Linked DNA regions of Saccharomyces cerevisiae S288C. Changing the gene in region 2 together with the main gene of any one other region gives a genetic interaction. Each region holds a gene or a part of one and is shown on either strand. Other genes may lie near its edges.

The links.
Region 1: mutations in YLL006W-A (region 2) and YNR064C together harm fitness more than expected from each alone (negative genetic interaction), as found in Saccharomyces cerevisiae (one large-scale study listed by BioGRID).

Annotation. Positions count from the first base shown.
Region 1 is NC_001146.8:745,206-755,901, forward strand, and holds YNR064C (epoxide hydrolase), read right to left. Parts: upstream 4,804-10,696; coding exon 3,931-4,803; downstream 1-3,930. Other genes in the region: PUL3 (Pul3p), read right to left, coding at 1-138; PUL4 (Pul4p), read left to right, coding at 1,738-3,561; YNR065C (uncharacterized protein), read right to left, coding at 5,145-8,495; YNR066C (uncharacterized protein), read right to left, coding at 8,520-9,830; DSE4 (endo-1,3(4)-beta-glucanase), read right to left, coding at 10,541-10,696.
Region 2 is NC_001144.5:126,723-137,021, reverse strand, and holds YLL006W-A (uncharacterized protein), read right to left. Parts: upstream 678-10,299; coding exon 501-677; downstream 1-500. Other genes in the region: ERMES complex subunit MMM1, read right to left, coding at 1-436; LMO1 (Lmo1p), read left to right, coding at 723-2,720; DRS1 (putative ATP-dependent RNA helicase), read right to left, coding at 3,035-5,293; copper metallochaperone COX17, read left to right, coding at 5,608-5,817; PSR1 (phosphatase), read left to right, coding at 6,409-7,692; rRNA-processing protein SOF1, read right to left, coding at 8,030-9,499; YEH1 (sterol esterase), read right to left, coding at 9,767-10,299.

The DNA.
Region 1 (10,696 bases), on a different chromosome or scaffold from region 2:
GCGATACCCTTTAATTTTAAAATCGCAATATCCAAAAAATATGACAATTAATTGTGCCAACGCCATGAAGATACCAGCCGCTGCTCGATAAATTGATAGAAGCTTGAAAACGATACCCCTATCTTGTGCAATTGACATGATGTAACTGAACACTATAGCACCAGAAGCAGATGCTGCACCACATATAATACGCCCACCGAGAAGGGTGTTTAGCGACACTGCACCGCCGCATGAATACAAAAAATTACCCACAAAGGATAAAAAGTAAAGCCCCACTATTACCCATTTAATGGACCCAAGAAAAGCAGCAATATCCCCAATAATGAATGAAACAAAAACTTGAACTGCTGCAGAAATGGCTTGAATTCTGAACAAGAATTTGTCCGGATTGGTTTCTCCGTTCTCTAAATTGTTAGCATACTAGTTCATTGAAATTATCTTAGATTTACATTAACACTTACTTCTTTGATGTAGTCAACCACACTTGAGAGATATACACAGGAGTCGAAACTGAATTGGACAGCTATCAAAATTACAGCCAAGTATTTCAAAAACATGTGTTTCTTGACACCTAAGATTTTTTTCATTTTAATTTATTGTACCACCGTCGAGTGAAATGGATGGATTTGTAATGCAATTGAGATACAATTAAGAAGAACGAAAGAGTACTTGACAACTAGAAAGTAATGTTAACTGATCTTTTATATGATGATTATTTATTGACGGCGATTCTTTTCCAGATTAGGAAATTTTGTTCCGCTTAGAATGGGATAGGCTTGTTTGGGCGCTATACTTCTGTATCAAAATAGTAAAATCAACTTATTTTAGTAATAGAAGAGAACAGTAGGCGTTTGGTAATTCTAATTACCTAGACTGTCCCCCATTTCCAGACAGCTGTCCCATATTTTTTTGAGATTCCGACGTCGAAGCGAAAGACTAGAAGAATAAGTAAAGTGGTCCTTTGTAAGCATAAAGACAAAGGCATGTGAGAAAAGTAAGTGTCTTCGCGATTCGCCGTTGTAAATATGTATCAGCTTTTTTTACTGCCTTTTCCTGGCGGATCACAGTAATGTATTTTTTTTTTTATATAATTCGAGCTCTACACTCAAGCATACATATATAGAATAGCTCAGTTTTAATGGGCTTTCTCGAGAACTATTCACCCAGAAGGATATCCTGAGCCTTATATTTAGATGTAACTTAGTAAAGTGAGAGTATTATGAATAACTTTTGAAGCTAACAAAATATCAGAAATTAAACTTCATTCAAGAATGTATTTATCTAGAAACTGGTCTTTGGCAAATGGCTCCGATGGCACACATGCAATGTTCTTGGTAAAAACTAATTTATTATTAGGCCAGTACAGAATAAAAGTTGTCATAAGAAAACTTCATTACATTTTATCTCCTCTGGCAAGTATCCAAATTCGAAAACCTCAGAAACCAGCGTTCCACCTAAAGTTTGTTTGCCCGTATGTTAAAACAGTAGCTGCCAAGTCACTTGAGTTTGAAGAATAATCTGATGCTTTTTACATAGAGGTCTATTAGGCTCTTTACTTTGTAAGCATCTCGACTTAAAAAAAAAATCTATTGTTTTTACGGGCATCGCTGAAAAACTGTGTCTGTTCTCTTTGATGCTGTCATCTAAGATTCAATTAAAGTCGACCATCAAGTTCCCTTAATAATATCCCTTGTGAGAGCTTAATCTAAAACTACAAAAGCGTTCGCAACAAGCAGTATGGACAGATCTAAGGACGCTAGAAAGAGATCTATTAGTTTGGCCTGTACTGTGTGTAGGAAACGAAAGTTGAAGTGCGATGGGAACAAGCCATGTGGAAGATGTATAAGGCTAAATACACCAAAAGAATGCATTTATAATATTGATAAAAGGAAAGACAAGAGAAAAATCAAAAACGGGTCGAAGGTTTTTTTATTCAAGAATAATACTATCGATAACGGGAATAACTCTATACTAGAGAACAAAGGACTAAATGAAGACCTTTCTTCTCATATATATGAGAAAGAAGCGCCAAAATTCGATTCAGATATTGATATATCAAGATTTGGCACAAATGATGCTGTGATTTTTAATAATGACGGGTGGGACACTTCTCTTCCGATCGATTTTGATTTCGATGAGTTTAACACTGAGACAACAGATTTCGATGACTTTTTAAAACTATTAGGCGATAATTCACCTTCAAAGGAACAAAAAAGTCTTTCCTATTCACCTACTGCTACAGGCTTAAGCGGTGTGGTTAAAGAAACTGAGAGCGAAGATAACGCTCCTACGAGGTCTCGGCTAATCGATGTCTTGTTTGAGAACAAGCTTCACTCCGTACCAGGAATATCAAAATGGCATCTATATGAGCTGGAATCCCAATACCCAAATTTGGAATGTACAGAAGGAAATAGTGATGAAAAGTTTTTACTTTCAACTGTATTGTGCCTGGGGTCGTTGACCATACGAAAAAGGGAACTATTGAATCATTCGAACATAGACAATCGTCCACTTTTGCCGGAGAATAGTATTTCAAAACTGACCACTGATGCTTTTAAGTACTATAATGCTGCGAAAACGCTTGTTCCCGACTTGTTATCTCATCCCACAATCGATGGATTTTGCGGCCTCGTTCTAATGGCAAATTTCATGACGATGATGATATCCTTAGAGCACCAATTATATTTGAGTATAAATGCTTTACAACTTGCTGTGGCTTTAAACTTGAACAACAATACAAAATGCAAGGAATTACTTGAGTCGAACAGCGACGGAATTGGTGTGATCTTGCTTTTTTGGAACATTTGGTGTTCTTCTTGCATGTTGGCAACAATTCATGGAAAAAATCCTTTTATCACTTTGGAACAAATTACAACACCTCTGCCGTGTGAAATATCCCCCCGCAATAAAACTAATAAACTTTTGATAGATTTCATGCAAATCAGAATCAAGCTAGCCACTCTACAAAGTAAGATTTTTCAACGGCTATATACTTCCAGCACCGCAAACGAGGTACCATTCGTAAACTTAGAAAGAGAATTTGAGGAGGTTTCACTCCAGATTACCAGGTTAAAAGGCTTTCCGATATTCGAAGAACATCTTTTTTACAGGAGCAGAGTCTTAATGTTAGAGCTATCATGTTTAAGAGCTCAAGCTTCTTTTCTATTATATCGTCCGTATCTGATCACTGGAGAATCCTTACAAGCAGTAACCATGGCAAAATCAATAATTCACGAAATATGGAGTCAATACACTAAACAGTTTCCCGATAACGAAAAGGAAAGGCATGAACGTTTGGATTGGAATTTTTGTTATCCTTTAAGAACAGCGTCACTGACATTATGTATTTCATGTATTATACTCCTAAGGTATAAGCAGGTGGTGCAGTTCCTTAAAGGTACTGAACTATTTGAATACATTCTAGCATTGGAAATATTGCAAGATTTAGTTCAGGTACTTCCTATTGAACAAAACCTTATTGATATAATCAAATATCCGATCAGTCCAGTACAGCTGAGTGGTGATAGCTTTGTCGAATTTTGGGGTCGCATACTTTACTAAACCGTTTCCTAGCTGATTTTTTGACACTTTATTCAGAAATGACCTTTTGAGATACAAGTTTACTAGGGGAAAGATCCATATGACATGGTAGTAGGTTTACCCTTCAAAACAACATAGATCGTAAAAAAGGTGGCTGAAGAACTTACTAAAAATGTTATATGCTTAGATTAATATATTGTCACCGGGCTACCAGTACAAACCCTTGATAATGCGACCAGACATCTGTTTTGACTTATTTATGAGCAATAATGGGTAACAAAAGAACGCTCTGAGGCAACTCTATGTGAGTCGAAACATATGTGTTTTTGGCAATTAAACAAAATACGAGAGATTCTTCTCAGAAAACATTGTCACAAGAACTTAGTATCTTTAATTTTCTGCAAACATACTGATGATTTCTTCGGCAATAGCAACTACGTGAGTTTCAAGCGCAAAATGGCCAGTATCATAGTAAACAACCTTTAAATTATCAACGTCTTTCCGATAAGCTTCAGCCCCGGCAACGCTAAAAATAGTATCATTCGCACCCCATGCAACTAGCACAGGAATCTTTGAATCTCTCAAGAACTTTTGAAAGGCTGGGTACAACTTTATATTATTCTGATAATCGAAAAATAATCTCAATTGAATATCGGTCTGGCCGGTACGCTGAATTAGCGCAATATCAAGCGTATAAGCGGCGGGATCAACAGATTCGATAGCTGGTACTCCATCATGGTACTGGCATATGACATTAGCTGGATCTTCAAGGTACGGGATAAGGGATTTAACAAATACCGGATCACTTTGATATGACTTCCAATATTCCTTCAACGGACCCCAAAAGCGGTCATCGAGACCCTCTTCGTAAGCATTACCGTTTTGAGTAACAATGCCAGTAATTCTGGAGGGAAACTTCAAGGCTAACCGAAAACCTACCGGAGATCCATAATCAAATATATACATGGCAAATTTTTCAATACTCAAAGTATCTAACAAATATCCTATACTTTCACAAAGGGAATCAAAGCTGAACTTGTAGTTTTCTGGCGTTTCCGTAAATCCGAACCCAGGAAGATCCGGAGCAATGATGTGAAACTGTCCAGCTAGTAAGGGAATGAGGTTCCTGAACATGTTGGAAGATGTAGGGAACCCATGTAGCAATAAAATTGTGGGGTTACCTGCTGCACCGGCCTCACGGTACCAAACCTTTACACCGTCTTGAACTTGAATCTTGTGAAATCTTGCAATGATATTTGACATTTTTGTCCTTCGTCCAATTCTGACAGTGAAAGAAAAGTGGTCAAGTTCAGTTAATTTGATCGTGCTTATATATGTTCTTTTTGGCTCCTATCACTTTTGGCTCCTATCACTTTTGAAATTTCTGTCACGATTATGTGCGGCGCAGTCCCTAGGCAAGTTACAGACGAATGGCATGCAGCGCCGTCTGTGGAAAAGATGAATACTGAATTATCATACCTTTAAATGACTATGTTAATAACAAAGGTGAATGGAGATTTAGAAAATGCACAATATTGAGAAAATGCATATGCGTACTTTTTGTTAGCAAACATACGATTATTTAGTCTATTAAAAAAATCTATTTACTCGTCCTCGTTGCGCACAGCAGTTGAATCAGGCTTGTGAATAGCACTACGTGCTGGCAATGCGTCTGGAATATTGCTAGTGGCAGGCTGGTCTATCTGTGACGTGTGCTCTTGTTCGGGTCTGTAAGCATCTTCTTGTTCAATTTCAAAATTACTGTCTTGACTTGTGAAACTGGATAAATCGTTAGCATCTTCATGCAAGCCATCTGATTCATCTGAAAACTGACCCTGAAGCAGCGAAGAGTAAGTAGGACCTTTTCTGTTGCCAAACCTTGCCCTTAATTTTGAAGAAAAGCGTGCTACACCTGCCTTCGTGCGTTGAAATGCAGACTTGGTAATTAAAGAAATGCATAATCCTAGTCTTACAATGATGTTGACAACTCTATCGGTCCTATTGTTTTCTATCAGCCCATCGTCTCCTAATCTTATTTCTTCAAATCTTGAAAATCCCCCATTTCTCCTGATACCTCTATCGTATACAAACCATGCGGCAAAGAAAATAACGAGAAGAATTGTAACAAAAACCAGCGCATAAGCGCCGGTGTTTATAGAATATTTTTCCCTGAATGCCTTTTCTTTTCCCGGACAAGGATGTGGTGCTAAATGTGCATCCAATTTCAGCCCACCTTTACAGGTTGATAAGGGAATTTTTCGATAGCCAGAGGAATCATAGTATTCAATTAAGTCGGGTTCCTTTTTGCAGATATCGGCACCATTCGCCGAACTTAAGCCTTTGACTAATTTACAAGTACCATCACTGGCTTTATAAAAATTATAGTCACATTCGAAATCTTGCCTCGTACATGAACAGTTTTTGACGTTCCTCGAAAATTCAGAAAGTGGAATATTCCCAATAAAACATTTTTCATCGGTTTTACGTAAAAACTCGGTTTGATGACCAAATAGACAACCAGTTCTGGAACCCAGAGGAGAGTACTTAAAATCTGCCCTTTTTTTACCCGTAATATCAAACTCACATTGCCTCTCGAAGATGTTTCTAAAATCAATTGTATACGTTCTGAATGAACCACTACCCATGTTTTTTGCTTCTCCAAATAGCAAAAACCTCAAAGCAGAATCTCTGGGAACGGTGATTATATCCTTTACGAGGACTTTGTCGCCACAGAATTTATAATCTTTCCATGTTTTACCAAAATCGGTGGAGTAAGAAATAGAATCAGTTTCTGCGTTTTCGGGGACCAAAACCAAGACTCCACCATGATCACCGTACTCCCATTGATGGGGGCCTTTTTTAACCTCAGTCCACGTCTCTCCTCCATCAGTGGTTAAAAAAGTGGAACACTCCTCATATGGTAGAAGCTTATCGCCAACATTTCCGACACCAAACATCATTCCTAACGCGGAACCGGAGGAATATGTATCCCTGATATCCTTACGTTCAGTGTAACCATGCAAATGTAGAGAACATTTATCTAATGATACAGAATCACAGGGAAACTTTTTCCCTTCCGAATCCTTCTTTGGAGGCTTCAAAAAGTTCCAATCTGAACCGTCATTAAAGGTGATTTTCGTCTTCAATTGTTCGTCTTCCTTGTTCTCTCCAACCTTTTCCCTATTCGAAACGATGTTGGTAATAATAATACCTTCAAGACCTTGAACTTTTTCAAAGTCGACATAACCGAATGTGTTTCTATTAACGGCATGCTCTAAAGTGACAAAAGAAGTACCATTCGAGTTGGATTTCAAAAGGTTTCCAAAATCGTGTCCTGATTCTAAGTTTGTTGCTAAATGTAAAAATATCGATCCTTTCTCAGATCCTAAAATAGTGAATGCCTCTTGCTTACTAACATCTTGACCATACGGGAATTTTGCCTCGGCAAACTCAGTACCATCAATAGTTACATATGCCCTCAACTCATTGTCTTCATGAGGTACGGCAACAATAATATAGCCACCAGTGGACAAGTAGCCGATAATGTTTTCAAAGATAATTTTATTATCACCTTGGAAAAAATCTATCGAAGAAACCAAGCTTCTTGTTTCTGAAGACTTCTTTTTTACTTGGCACATAACCATCTCCTCATTTGACGGATATTCAAAGAGTGTGCCTGCAAACTCACAATGAATTGCATTATCAAGCATTTCTGTAAAAGTTTCACCTCCATCTTTGGTGAGGTATGCTACTGCATGACATTCTGGACTTAAGATTGATTCACAATTCTTGCCACCATAGTAAATAAAAGTATCCTGTGCTTTAGCACTAAAATCTAGTGGCATACCTAATTGCCTGGCTTCAGGTAATTTAGCTATCATAAAAGAGTGTCCTCTATCGTGTGTTGAGAATATGTTACCTTTAGAGCCAAACAAATATGCTGAAGAATTGAAATATGGGTTAAACACAACTTCAACAATTTTTTCGCCGTTAGTGTCAAACCTTTTTATTGTTTGTCCACCATCGTGGGATATATAGGCGTCTCCTATCGAATTCAGCATGACCAAAGATTCGTCGGCAACTGTATCGAAGTATTGGTAAAATTTAATTTCGAAGTCAAATTTGTTTTCAGTGGTCACTATTTCCCTGTCACTCGAACCCTCCTCTGGAATTTCGTCACACGGAATATCAACGGGTTCAATTTTCATGGGTGTTTTACATTCATCACCTTTGATTAATTGTAATGGCTCTACTAACACAGATTTATCCTTCGATTTGTCACATATGTTGGAAAAGGCAATCAGATTATAATCTGGTATACACAGGCCGTTTGCGTCCCTAACAAATTCAAACGAACATTCGTAGTCGGATTCACCACAACTATTACAAGGCGTTTCATCTAAACTCAAATCTTTGAATGCTTTTTTTACCAAACACTGGGCGTCTTGTTTCCTCCTTCTATACTTGTATTTGGCGCCATTAACACATTTCCCATCCGCCAAATCCCAATCTTCAAAATCTTCCTCCTCACACGTTCTAGAGTCGAATGCTGCTGAAAAATCAATTATATACTCGACACCTTTTAAAGAAGTTATACTGTTGGTTTCGGAATCGGTAGTGGCAAACGTTCCTTTAAAAATAAATTTTGAGCCAGATCCATCTGGTGTTGGATTTATCAATTTGTAGGGATGGACAGAACTTATGGCATTGGTCAGCTCATATTCATTCCATGTTCTACCTTGGTCCAAAGAATAATAAAATTCAGATTGAAAATCGCCATCTTCCTCTGGATCATATGGGATATACACAATAATATTTCCCAGGTCACCAGTAGCATATAACCCAGAAGAATTATGAACAAATCTCCACGTTAAACCGCCATCTCTAGAGATGAAAGTTTTTTGGTCTTCCCAATCGAATTCACTACCGTCGCCAACGGAACCTGTCATTAACATAATTCCGGCAGTAGGATTTGAGATTTAGATACTATAAAAAGGGTTCTGGAGCGAACATCTTTCAGGCCTAGTGATATCACAAGGGAATGAATCTGCATTTTCCTCGTCAACCACTTTCAAATTTGACCATGTGAGGCCGTTATCAACAGATATTTTAGTTTCATATCTGGCTATCTTTTTATTATATTTTCCTTTGTTATGAGAGTAGTCAAAGGAAGGATGAAACGAGCCAATTATTGTTCCTTCTAAGAAATGAGGAGAAGCAATATCAATATAACCAAAGTGAGGATTTATTGTCCATTCAACAGGTAAAAATTTCAACCCTTGAGAATCTGATATTAAAATTTCTGAGGGAGCTGGTTGGTCGTTTTTTTCATCTGTGAATATCGTAGATATAGGAATGATTATTCTTCCAATAGAATCTTCATAAATTCCATACATATGGACGTGCCGTACTTGAGCAGGTAGACGTGCCTTTTGAAAAGTAGACGCATCATTGGATATCCAGATGTCCATGGGTGACATTTCATTGTATCTATCATCTTGTGTCGAAACGATTATATGTGATTTTAATATCTTGTATTGATAAATAATTTTATCATTAAACTCATCAAATTTTTTGAAAGTTTTACCTCCATCAGTACTTAAGGCTAATTGTGTATATGCGGCACTTAAGTGACGATCGCTATCGTAACCATGGTTCGAGAACAAACATAGTATCGAAGCGTCGTTACCCTCAATATCAGAATCCTTGCTAGATTTGACAAAGTTGCAGCTTGAACTTGTTATATGGTCATCTTCTTTCTTTTTCAAGGAAGGTTCGATATTGTAAAAGGATTCCCCATCGTTGGTAAAGTAAGTTTCATTTTGTATTTGGATATAACCATTGTCGTTTATAAAGCAAGGGCAATCTGCAATAAGGTACTTTTTATCTGTCGGATGGGTAGCTATAGAGCAAGAAGTACCCAAACGACAGTTTTCAGAGACGGGTATAGTCAGAGCCCTCCATGATTTTCCACGATCATCGGTGACGTAAAATTTGGGTGATAAATGTATCGAAACAAAAGCCCTGTCCTGTCCATGCAAAGGATCAACAATTAATTCGAGAATATGCCCTTCAATTTCTTTGACCGCTTCCCAATTTTCTCCAGAATCGGAACTTATCCACACGACTTGATTATCTAATCTGATTAAACTGTTGGAATCGTCAAAGCTCTCTAGACTAAATGAATATTCTGAAAGAGTCTCCGTTACTTTGGGGACGAATTCCTCTGCATTGAGTAACGGAATAAAGAGACATGTCCAAATCGTGCATATGACTTGGAGTAATATCATAATTGAGGATCTCTTACCTTTTCTTAGTTCAAAGCTTTTTTTCAAAGCTCGGAACTTTATGCTACGATTCAATGACTAAAAAAAAGGTAGCGGATAATCTTTTGGTTGCAAATTGGCGGCATTTAAATATATTTTGGGTTGCAAATATTCTAAAAATATTCTCATAATATTCTAAAAATATCTAGCCTAGGTAATTGCAATTATTTTGAGTCTGGTTATTTTGAGTTGACCATGTTCACTTCCTTTTCAGTCATCAAGACAACGTGTTTACCATCTAATGGGGAATCAAACAGATAAAACTAGAAACTGAGCAAAAATACTTTGATTTGCTAATGTCGCCAGTAGTACGATAATACTATAAAGATATGCTGTTGAAGCTGATATTTAAAGAATGAGAATCTCTAAGGGATCATAGTCTAGAATGGTATTCTGCAAAACAAATTTTAAATGGTGAAAACTTTTCCTCACTATGTCCAATTGATGCTTCTTAGGATGACGTTAGAATTTTATTTTAGTGCAGGCATTACCTTGCTAAGTTCATTCATTAAAGTACTAATATACCTCTTACTGGCATGCATTTACCTAAGTGGTCTCCGTTAGCCGTGGTCTTTTCGAACGCAACAACTTTCAAGTTAAGTAAAAATGATTTATTCTATAAAATATGTATGTAGTGGGAAAGACTCGACAGACCTGCTTGCCAAGTTCTCTTTCTAAGCAATTGAGTTGGCCAGTCCCCCTGAAAATGCTAATGCCCATGTGCGACTCATTCCGTTATCCAAATATGTGGATGAATCAAAAGTTGAATCACTGAAAAATGCATACGAATCTACTGGGTCGAAGAGTGCTTGATTCAGCTTCAATATGCC
Region 2 (10,299 bases):
GATATTCTTTAAATTTTGATCTGTGACGGGAGGCTGCAGGTTTCGGATTCTTACTTTTAGATGGCTCATCACTGAATATAAAGAACTTTAGGAAAAAGATGAACAACAACACTATGCTTAGCTGTCCTACAAAAAACCCTTGAGCAAACGACCATCCAGAAAATTTGGAGGACGTTGCTAACGATCCTAACGAAGAAGGATGCAACACGCTTTGCATTTGCAAAGCTTGAATTGCATCATCGAGACCTTTGAAGCTCCCGTTTTTACTGACATTAAACTCTGAGTTGTTTGAAGTTTGCTTTAAGTCATTAGTAGTAGAACCCTTCAAATTCTCCATGATTAGTCTCTGTAAATGTTCAGGTAGCTCTTTGCTTATATAATCGTCAAACGTCATTAACGAATCCGTTTCGGTGGATTCATTCTCACTATCAGTCATTTTCAGAAAAAGGCTACAGGTATTATATTGACTCTCTCAAAGTTCTTTCATCTCATTGAGAAAATTATGAGGGGCACTTATTGTTGTAGATGATCTTTATTGGATGTTGACGGTTCTTCGGAATTGAAACGGATAGGCAGAAAGTGAAAAAATAAACTATTAAGGAAATACATGAAAAGAAGTAAACTGAAATGTATACAAGGGCAACCCGTTCCACGTTGGATTGACTCAATTGTGTCATCAGTAGGAAAATAGATTAAAGTAACCTCAAATAACGGCATAAGCAATGAAGCATAACAGGCAGATGCCAGATGAAAGCTTGGAAAACATAAAAGTGCTACTGAATCCTAAATTAGGAAAGCCAGTCAAGTCACTTACGAGTGCACAATCAAAAGCTTGCTATCATACGCTGATCAGTAATAAAAATTTGAACAAGACAAGTGATGAATACGAAAAGTTATTGGCAAACTATATCCTCCTTTGTGATGAAAAATACCTATGTAAAACCGTAATTCCAGATTCCCGATTTTGGGCTATATTGTGTGATAATTGCCAAAAGCTAAGGTCAGAAACGTTGGTAGCAAATCTCATTAGGATTTTTAATGTAGCCCTTAAATGCCAAGATTCTAATAAGAATGAAGTTATTGTGAGCATCTGCCACATCTCCAGAGAGAACTCTCAGCTCATTGGAATACTTTTACAACTTTTGTCCCAAAGACCTATTCATATACCGTTGTTTACGGACACTATACTATGCATAACCCTATTTTTAAAATGCTCACTTACATTATGTGAGACATCACTATCACACGCCGTAGAATTTGTACCCAGAATCCTCATTTTGCTATTTCAGTATAACTTTCCAGCTTCCATGTCTGAATTACTTTACATAGAAGACTTGCAACCACTAATCCTTGAAGAATTTGTACCGTTAAAGCAGAGGCTAATAAATTTTCTATCTTCGGTTAGTATTGATGATTATTCCTGTTCGCTTAAAGCTGATCTTCTTACAGCCATCAAAGATAACTCCGTATTCCAAAAAGGGTTAGAAATGGAAATGGGCGATCTTCCCAGTATAAATTTATTAAATGCGTATGATACATTCACATTCTTAAACAGTCCTAATGGGTCTTTCAAGAGACTTTACACTGAACAATTGTTGTTTGGCGAGAACGATTTCCCTCTTTATGAAGCAATATTTAAACTTTCAGACCAATTTAGAAGACTTTTCAATCTAAGTGGGAAAAAAGAGAACCAATACTCAGACTCAGAGCGTGATTTAAAATTACAAATTGCTACCGCTGTTCTCAATCGACAAACATGTTTTTACAAAACACTCGAGTTGTTTTTGAGATTTTGGATAGAATCATTAGCAAAATCGCAAAGTGATTTGGTTTCACTGTTAAATTTAGCTATTATCACTTTAAAATATGTTTGTTTGTCATCCAGTGATTTGGAAGCAGCAATACAGACGAAATCCCTTCTCAAGACCCAAGTTGTTGCACTTGACTCTATGAGATATAAATTTGCAAGAACATTACAATTAGACTCAATCAAAAAAGAACAGTATCGAACCTGGTCATCTAGTATCGCTAGCTTCGATACCATGCTATCAGGCCAGGTTCGTGATTACGTTCGTCATCAAAGACTTCTTCAATTGCAAAAGGGAACGTGGGTTTACGCAGAGAACCCACTGAATCCTGAAGCTGGCACGCCTAAAGTCTACTTCCTCATAGTTTCAGATAACCACGCAAATTTATTAGCCAGAGAATTCGAAACACAAACAAACGATTTACCTTATCTATTCGACAATAAAATTTTAACAAGTCCAGGTTCTGAGGCATTAGCTAATGGCAGAACAAAAGTTGTTGTTTTGAAACATATAACCTCTTTCAAAAGCATAGAACTTACTACACCGAGTCGTCGGACGAGCAGTAATGTTTACATCAAATTAGATGAAGCCAATGTGTACACTGGAGTTGAATTAAAAGATCGTAACGACAGGACAGTTTTGAAATTTTATTTAGACACAGAAGAGGGAAGATATATATGGCTAGACGGATTGAAATTGATATCTCCATTCCAGCATGAAGATATATCAGAAGACACGAAAGAACAAATAGACACTTTATTTGATTTGAGGAAAAATGTTCAGATGATAAATTTGAACGTTCGTCAGGACATCATAGTGCCTCCACCTGAACCAAGCGACGAGGACGAAGATGAAGAATTTTATAACTTGGAAACGTTAAAGAAAGTAACCCAAAATTTTTATTTTGATTAAGATACAAATTTGTCGTCAGACGATTTTTTTTTATTTATAACTTTTTTTTACTAGAATGGAATGTAATTTTGTAATTCTTTCCCGCAAGTAGCTTGAGTCTCCATTCAGTTCGTTTGTACTTGAAAAATCCTTTTAATATAGCATATAGCTTGCAGTTTATTAATACTCACTTCTACAGATTCAACAAAAAAAAAGGAATTTTTGACTAATCCCCTGTTTATTAGATGAATTAATGATATTTAAATACAAAGTATTAATAATATAATGACAGTGATAAGTATGTTGATATTTTATGATAATGACGATGAAAATTATTACCTACGGCTTTTGAAGCCCTTCTTCTTATTTGAATTTGTACTCTTCTGCTTTTTAAAAGTTCTTTCTTGATCTGCAATACGGTCGGTTTTGGTTTTTCTATAAGAACGTGCACCATTGCCATCTGCCTTAGCTTCTTCACGCTTTCTCTTTTTGCTGTTAGTGACTTTCTTGTTCCTTGATAAAGCACCTAATACTTTGGAATTTTTCTTATCTGATTCGCTTTGGAACCATGTCCTTCTTGGTCTTGCCTGGATTTCCTTTTTATGCTTCAACATATTTTCACCCTTTCTTAATTGCATTTCAGCCCTTAATATTTCCTTCTCCTCCTTTTCTTCCACCAGAATATCTTCAATCGTATCGTTCATGGATTCAACAAGTTTGTTTGTTTCTTCGATTTGAACCCAGTCTACGTTTCTACCAAGTGCTTTACCTTGAGTTAGGGACTTATTTTCTTCTACACTCTTTATAGCAGCACGTACAATACTTCTATCTTGAGATGATTCACCGACGAAGGTGACGGAACGACCTTCCCTACCAGCTCTGGCGGTACGACCAACTCTATGCAGGTAGATCTCATAACTCTTGGGCATATCGTAGTTGATAACAACCTCAATCTTGGGGATATCAAGACCTCTGGAGGCCAAATCCGTACAGATAAGTACAGGAACTTCCAAATTTTTGAATTTATTAACGGAATCTAAACGCTGTTCTTGGGTTAAAGAACCGTGTAATTCACCCACACTCATACCTAAAAGACCCATGATAATCCTTAACCTATGAGCAGTTTCTTTTCTAGCCACAAAAACGACAATCCTCTTTTGACCCGTTGGATCCAATTTCCTAATCAAATTAAATAACAAGGCAGGCTTCAAATGGTCTCTTTTACGAATACGAACGAATTCTTGTGTCAACTTAGTAGCAGCTTTCTTTGGAGGATCAATCATAATCCTTACTGGTTTTTTTAGAGAAAGACTAACTAAACTTTTAATTTTGGAGTTCATTGTAGCAGAAAACAATAGGTTCTGTCTATTGCTTGGTAATAGGCCCATAATTTCGTTCAGTTCATCTTGAAAACCTTCTTCTAACATTCTATCGGCTTCATCCATAACCAGAATCTCTACTGAGTCCACATTAAAACTTGCTGAGTTCCTGATATGATCAATGAATCTACCTGGGGTAGCAATGACGATGTCCGGACGAGATTTCAACATTTGTTCTTGTTGTCTCAAGTTCAAACCACCAACGGCCAGACCAAAGGTTATACCGGAGACGAAACGTGCAATTTGTTTACCAACGTCAGCGACTTGGATAGCTAACTCACGAGTGGGCAATAGAACAATAACTCTGGTGGAAGCGATTTTGGCTGGTTTATACAACAAACGCTCGATTATGGGAATCATAAACGCAGCAGTCTTACCGGAACCAGTCACAGCACCGGCAATGATGTCTTTACCCAATAAGGCAATGGGGATTGTGGCGCTTTGAATAGGGGAAGGCTTGACGTAACCCAAACTTGCAAGGCCCTTAAGAACCGGACGAGATAAAGACAAACTGTTGAAATTTTCGTACATTTGCTTTTTAGCTTCATCTCCCTCAGTTTCAGGCGCATAGAAATCGGCTTTTGCCTCTTCAGAATCGTCTTCTTCATCTATTTCGTCATCTTTGCCGCCTTTTTCTAACGTCATCTCTTCTTGTTCCTCCTCTTCCTCCTCTTCCTCTTCCTTTTCCTCCTCTTCTTCTTCTTCTTCTGACTGATTTTCGTCTCCATTGTTCATGGGAGCTCCCATACCGAACCCGTCCATTGCTAATTCCTCATCGTCGCTATCGTTTTCTTTTTCTACTTTTTCTTTCTCGGTTTCTTCTTCTTGTTTACTATCAATATGGGCCATTTTCACCAGCCCACCTTTTCTTCTAATAATCTTATCCAAGTCAACGTCCTTCTTCACAAAAGCTTCGGCATCGTCCTTATTGGACTCGCCCTCTGCTAGAAAGTTCCAGCCTTGGAAGTTCGAAGTGGTATCATCGGCGTCCAAATCAAACTTAAACCCCGCGTCCAAGTCCTCATGAACATCCTCATCGAGGTTATCCCCCTCACTAACCTTTTTCTTGTTATTCTTACCCTTCCGCTTCTTCGTAGTCTTCTTAGCCTCGACTTTTTCGTCATCAGAAGAATCTAGAATTGGAACATCGTCTTCACTGTCACTGATTGTAGGGACAAAGTCCAAATTAGAGTATTTTTTAGTTCCTACCACCATAGTATATATATAAGACGCTGTTGTAGGCACACAGCTCCAATTCGAAACCCAAGTTACCAACGTAAATACTCATACTATCTAAGCATATTCTAACTTACAATTTTCAACCTCATCTCATCGCATTTTTTGAAAATTTTTTTTCAAATCATTACCCGGATAATGTTATAACCCTACCTATCTCCTTCAAAAAAAGATAAAATGACGATATATAGCGGCGAATCAGAATCTAGTAACCACCTAACTACTTGTCTCTAGTACAACTAAACAAAATTTTAGTGTACACAATCAGATAACTACACAATCAATTATACCCAATGACTGAAACTGACAAGAAACAAGAACAAGAAAACCACGCGGAGTGCGAGGACAAACCTAAGCCATGTTGCGTTTGTAAGCCAGAAAAGGAGGAGCGGGATACATGCATCTTATTCAATGGACAAGACTCTGAAAAATGCAAGGAATTCATTGAAAAGTACAAAGAGTGCATGAAGGGTTATGGCTTCGAAGTTCCAAGTGCAAATTAGTCTTACTGACAGTCTGCCGACAACCATTTCTTGTATATATAAGAATAGGTATTCACAAACTATAGTATATACTACCTGTAAATATGTGCGATGCACAATTAACATTACCTCATCACTACTACACCACTTCTACTGCTAGCACTGTCCTCTTGTGCTTGGCCCCTTAAGAGTGTTCTAAGACCACGTGACCAGAAAAGGACGTATCACGTGACACAAACCTAATAACTTTTTTAGGAAACCCTAAGTCAGGGCACGCTTGCTTTGTTTCTTTTTTTTCTGGAAAGAACGGAAAAAAAAAAAAGTCTGGGATTAGTTAGTGTATATTAAGTGAAAAAGTATAGAAATAGGTGTCGAGAAGAAGTGCTCGTTGAACCATACTGCTCACAATACTCTTTCATTGAACTCTTTATTACGTTGTCGTCAAGTACAACTCCTTCCTTTATCGCCTGCCTAGCCTATAGTCTGCTCTCTTCGTGTCATTCCTTATAGCATAATCAATCGCACTTCCCCTTTCATTGTGCGTTTATCCAAGCTTTTTATTTGCCTACATTCGTGTTCGTAAGCTTTAACAACAATAAGTAGCAAAACAGTATGGGTTTCATATCGTCAATACTGTGCTGCTCTTCCGAGACGACACAATCCAATTCCAATTCTGCTTATCGCCAACAACAGAGCAGTTCTCTCAATAAAAACAGAAGCGTTAAACATTCCAACACGAAAAGCCGAACCCGTGGCGTACATCAGACAAACTCTCCTCCTTCTAAGACAAATTCAGCCGCTACTTTCAGTTCCACTGAACGATCCACCGGTAAATCTGGGATAAGCACGAACGATAATGAAAAAAAGAAGCCATCGTCGCCGACTGCAGCCGTCACCGCCACTACTACTAATAATATGACAAAAGTAGAGAAGCGAATTAGTAAAGATGATCTTTACGAGGAAAAATACGAGGTTGACGAAGATGAAGAGATCGACGATGAAGATAACCGTCGCAGTCGTGGCATTGTACAGGAAAAAGGAGATGCTGTGAAAGATACTTCCAGGCAGAAAAAACAACAGCAGCAACAACAACAACAGTCACAACCACAACCACAACCCCAGTCACAGTCACAGTCACAGTCGCAGTCGCAGTCGCAGCAGCGAGGGCCTACTGTACAAGTATCGTCTGACCATCTTATCCAAGATATGAATTTGAGTAGGGTAAGTAGCAGCTCTCAAGCCAGTGAAACTTCCAACGATGCCGACGACGAAGACGATGAAGATGAAGAATATATTGATCTAACGCTTTTGCAGCAGGGCCAGTATCATGCACCAGGTTACAACACTCTGCTCCCCCCACAAGATGAAAGTACAAAGGGCAAGAAATGCCTAATACTGGACCTGGATGAAACCTTGGTACACTCTTCTTTCAAATACTTACGATCTGCGGATTTTGTTTTGTCTGTGGAAATAGATGACCAAGTACACAATGTCTATGTCATTAAAAGACCTGGTGTGGAAGAATTTTTGGAAAGAGTCGGAAAATTATTCGAGGTTGTAGTCTTCACGGCTAGTGTCTCTCGATACGGTGATCCTTTGCTTGATATATTAGACACAGATAAAGTCATTCATCACAGATTATTCAGAGAGGCTTGCTATAACTATGAAGGAAACTATATAAAAAACTTATCCCAGATTGGAAGGCCGTTATCAGATATCATCATTCTCGATAACTCTCCGGCATCTTATATTTTTCATCCCCAACATGCAATACCGATTTCGTCCTGGTTCTCAGATACTCATGATAACGAATTATTAGATATTATTCCTCTTTTAGAAGACCTTTCTGTGAAAACCTCACTGGATGTGGGCAAAATTTTGGATGTAACAATATAATGAGCACTTTCGCCCGAATTTCTTGTGGCCCCCGCTACCAAAGAATGAAGATGAAGAAGATGAAGAAAAGAACCAGAGAACAAAAAGTTTTTTCTTTTTTTTTCTTTTTTTTTTTGGCTCAACACACTGTACCCATGCTGTCCCTTGACATTTTTTTTTTCAACTTCTTCTACCATTACGACACAATGTATTCATATATAAATTCATAATCTAATAAAATGGTAATTTTAATTTAACGGGACTGGCGTGAACATTTATCAAATACATGTGAATTAAAAATTAAAAAAATGCAAATATTGTACATATGTGTATATACAGACAACATAAAACAGAATAACTACTTTTCTTGAGTATCACGTTTGTCATCTTCCTTTCTTCTTTTCCTATCTCTTCCTGAATCTTCATATTTGTGCACGGTACCAACGATTTGTTTCTTCCTTTCGGAAATGTATGGCATATCCTTTCTAGTACGCCTTTCATTAGCTTCTCTTCTCTTAATAGAACTCAACTCAATGTTCTTAATTTCCTGAGCCTTTTTGATGACTTGTGGCACGTGTCTATGTCTACTGATTCTTTTGATCTCCGGCATATGTCTAAATCTTTCTTTTAATTTTTCGTCATATTCTAATTTATTCTTTTCACGAGTAGTTTTGACATTAGACCTCTCCCAAGCTTTACTTCTCCATAGCCTAACATTCCCATCATCAGATCCACTGATAATATATTTAGAATCCATGGAATATTTAACCTGGAAAACATGCTGCATTCTCTTCGTATGATAAATTTCTCTCGAATGTCCGTGATTCGTCTTATATATTCTGATACTCTTATCGTACGAACCAGTAACAATCTCATCCCCCGTAGGAGAAAAGTCAACATCCATTACTGCGCTGACGTGATCTTTGAATACATTCAATGAACGTGATAAATTCCTCATATCATAATAGTAGGCGTTATGATCTTCATTGGCAGTTACAAAGTTGAAGGCCTCCATTGGATTCCAGCAAATAGCATTCGTCCTCATTGTTTGAACAATCTTTTGTGTGGGGGAGTTGGTTCTCAAGTCGTAAAGAACAATAGAATTATCACTACCAGTACTGGCCAAGATATCTGTTTCATTTTGATTGAATTTTAAACTAGTAATGTTGTCTGCTCCCCATGATAGATCGGAAACTGGCTTCAATCTGTTAACGTCCCAAAGATGGATCTTGGCCCCACCTGTGGCAAACGTGGAGTTTTCTCTGTGCGAATCGATACCTTGAAATGCAGATTCACCGTCAAAAGTACGAATCAAACCTTCCTCGTTAGTAACGGAGTCGTTATCACTGGAGTTTTTATTGGAGTAATCATCAACATTTATTGACCATAGCTTGACAGTTTTGTCATCACTGCAAGATAACATAAAATTTTGGCTCTTCAAATCTGGCTTCTTGTCATGAAAACGAGGCTGTGTCACACAAAGACCAGTAACGAGTCCATAATGCGCCTTAAAGGAAACAAATTCTTCTCTAGTAGACATGTTCCAGTATTTAATCACACCATCTGCAGAACCAGTAGCCAATTTATTCAGACTACCATAATTTTTGGCAATAGCATAAACACCATCTCTATGACCGTATCCTAACTGACCCACAAAGGGTTTAGCAAACATTCTTTCCAATTTGGTGGCATTCAAAGCTTTAGTATATTCACGTGCCCTTTCAAAAGGATGCAATTCAGGGTTCAAATTCCTGGGCATTTGAGATTCCTGCGTACTTTTAACAGGGACATAGTCATCAGCACTTCTTTTAATGGTCTTAATCTTCATTTTAACGCCTTATCTTCGCGAGTCAAACTACGTTAATGAAATGCGGTTGCTTTATACAACTGTAATGTAATTCAAACTCATCGATTTTTTTTCAATATCAAATTTTTCAAAAAAATGTATCGTTATGCACGGTGATGTCCCAACTCCCGACAATTTGTGACACAATACTTCAAAAAAAAAGAACAATTAAAAACTAAAAATTTACTAGCCCTCTATCTATGTATTCCCAAGTATAATTTATATTAACCTATATATCATGCTTCCTCTTCAAGCCTTCTCAGCAACCATTTCCAGCTCCGTTTCCACCTCTGTGTCCGAACAATCACTTTCAAAGGCGCTGGATGGCTTCTTGGAGTAATAGTTGTTCAAATTCTGTAAAATTGGTTTACCAATTCTCTCTATGACATCATGTGCCCATAGGACATCAATATGGGCATACTCATCAATGTACCAGATCTTGTAGTTGACATTCGACTCCACATTGACGAAATGATTGATTAGTCTTTCTCCGTCCACCAATCTATCTTGCTTTGGAACAAACAAGTAGATATTTGGGGCCTTTGATGCGTCTGAAAACCACTTAACATTGTCGGGGAACATCTTATGGGAACCAAATTTAAAACTTACCTTGTTGGGGTCGGGTGACAGCCACCATTGCATCAACTTCACTGAAACATGGACTGGCGAAAACAGGAAATGGCGATCTCTTAATGCGGTATCCCAAAGGGTATCGTTCCAATCAAACAGGTAATTGAAGATGGTGTAACAAACAAAGGAGAACAAGCTCTCACCAACGCACA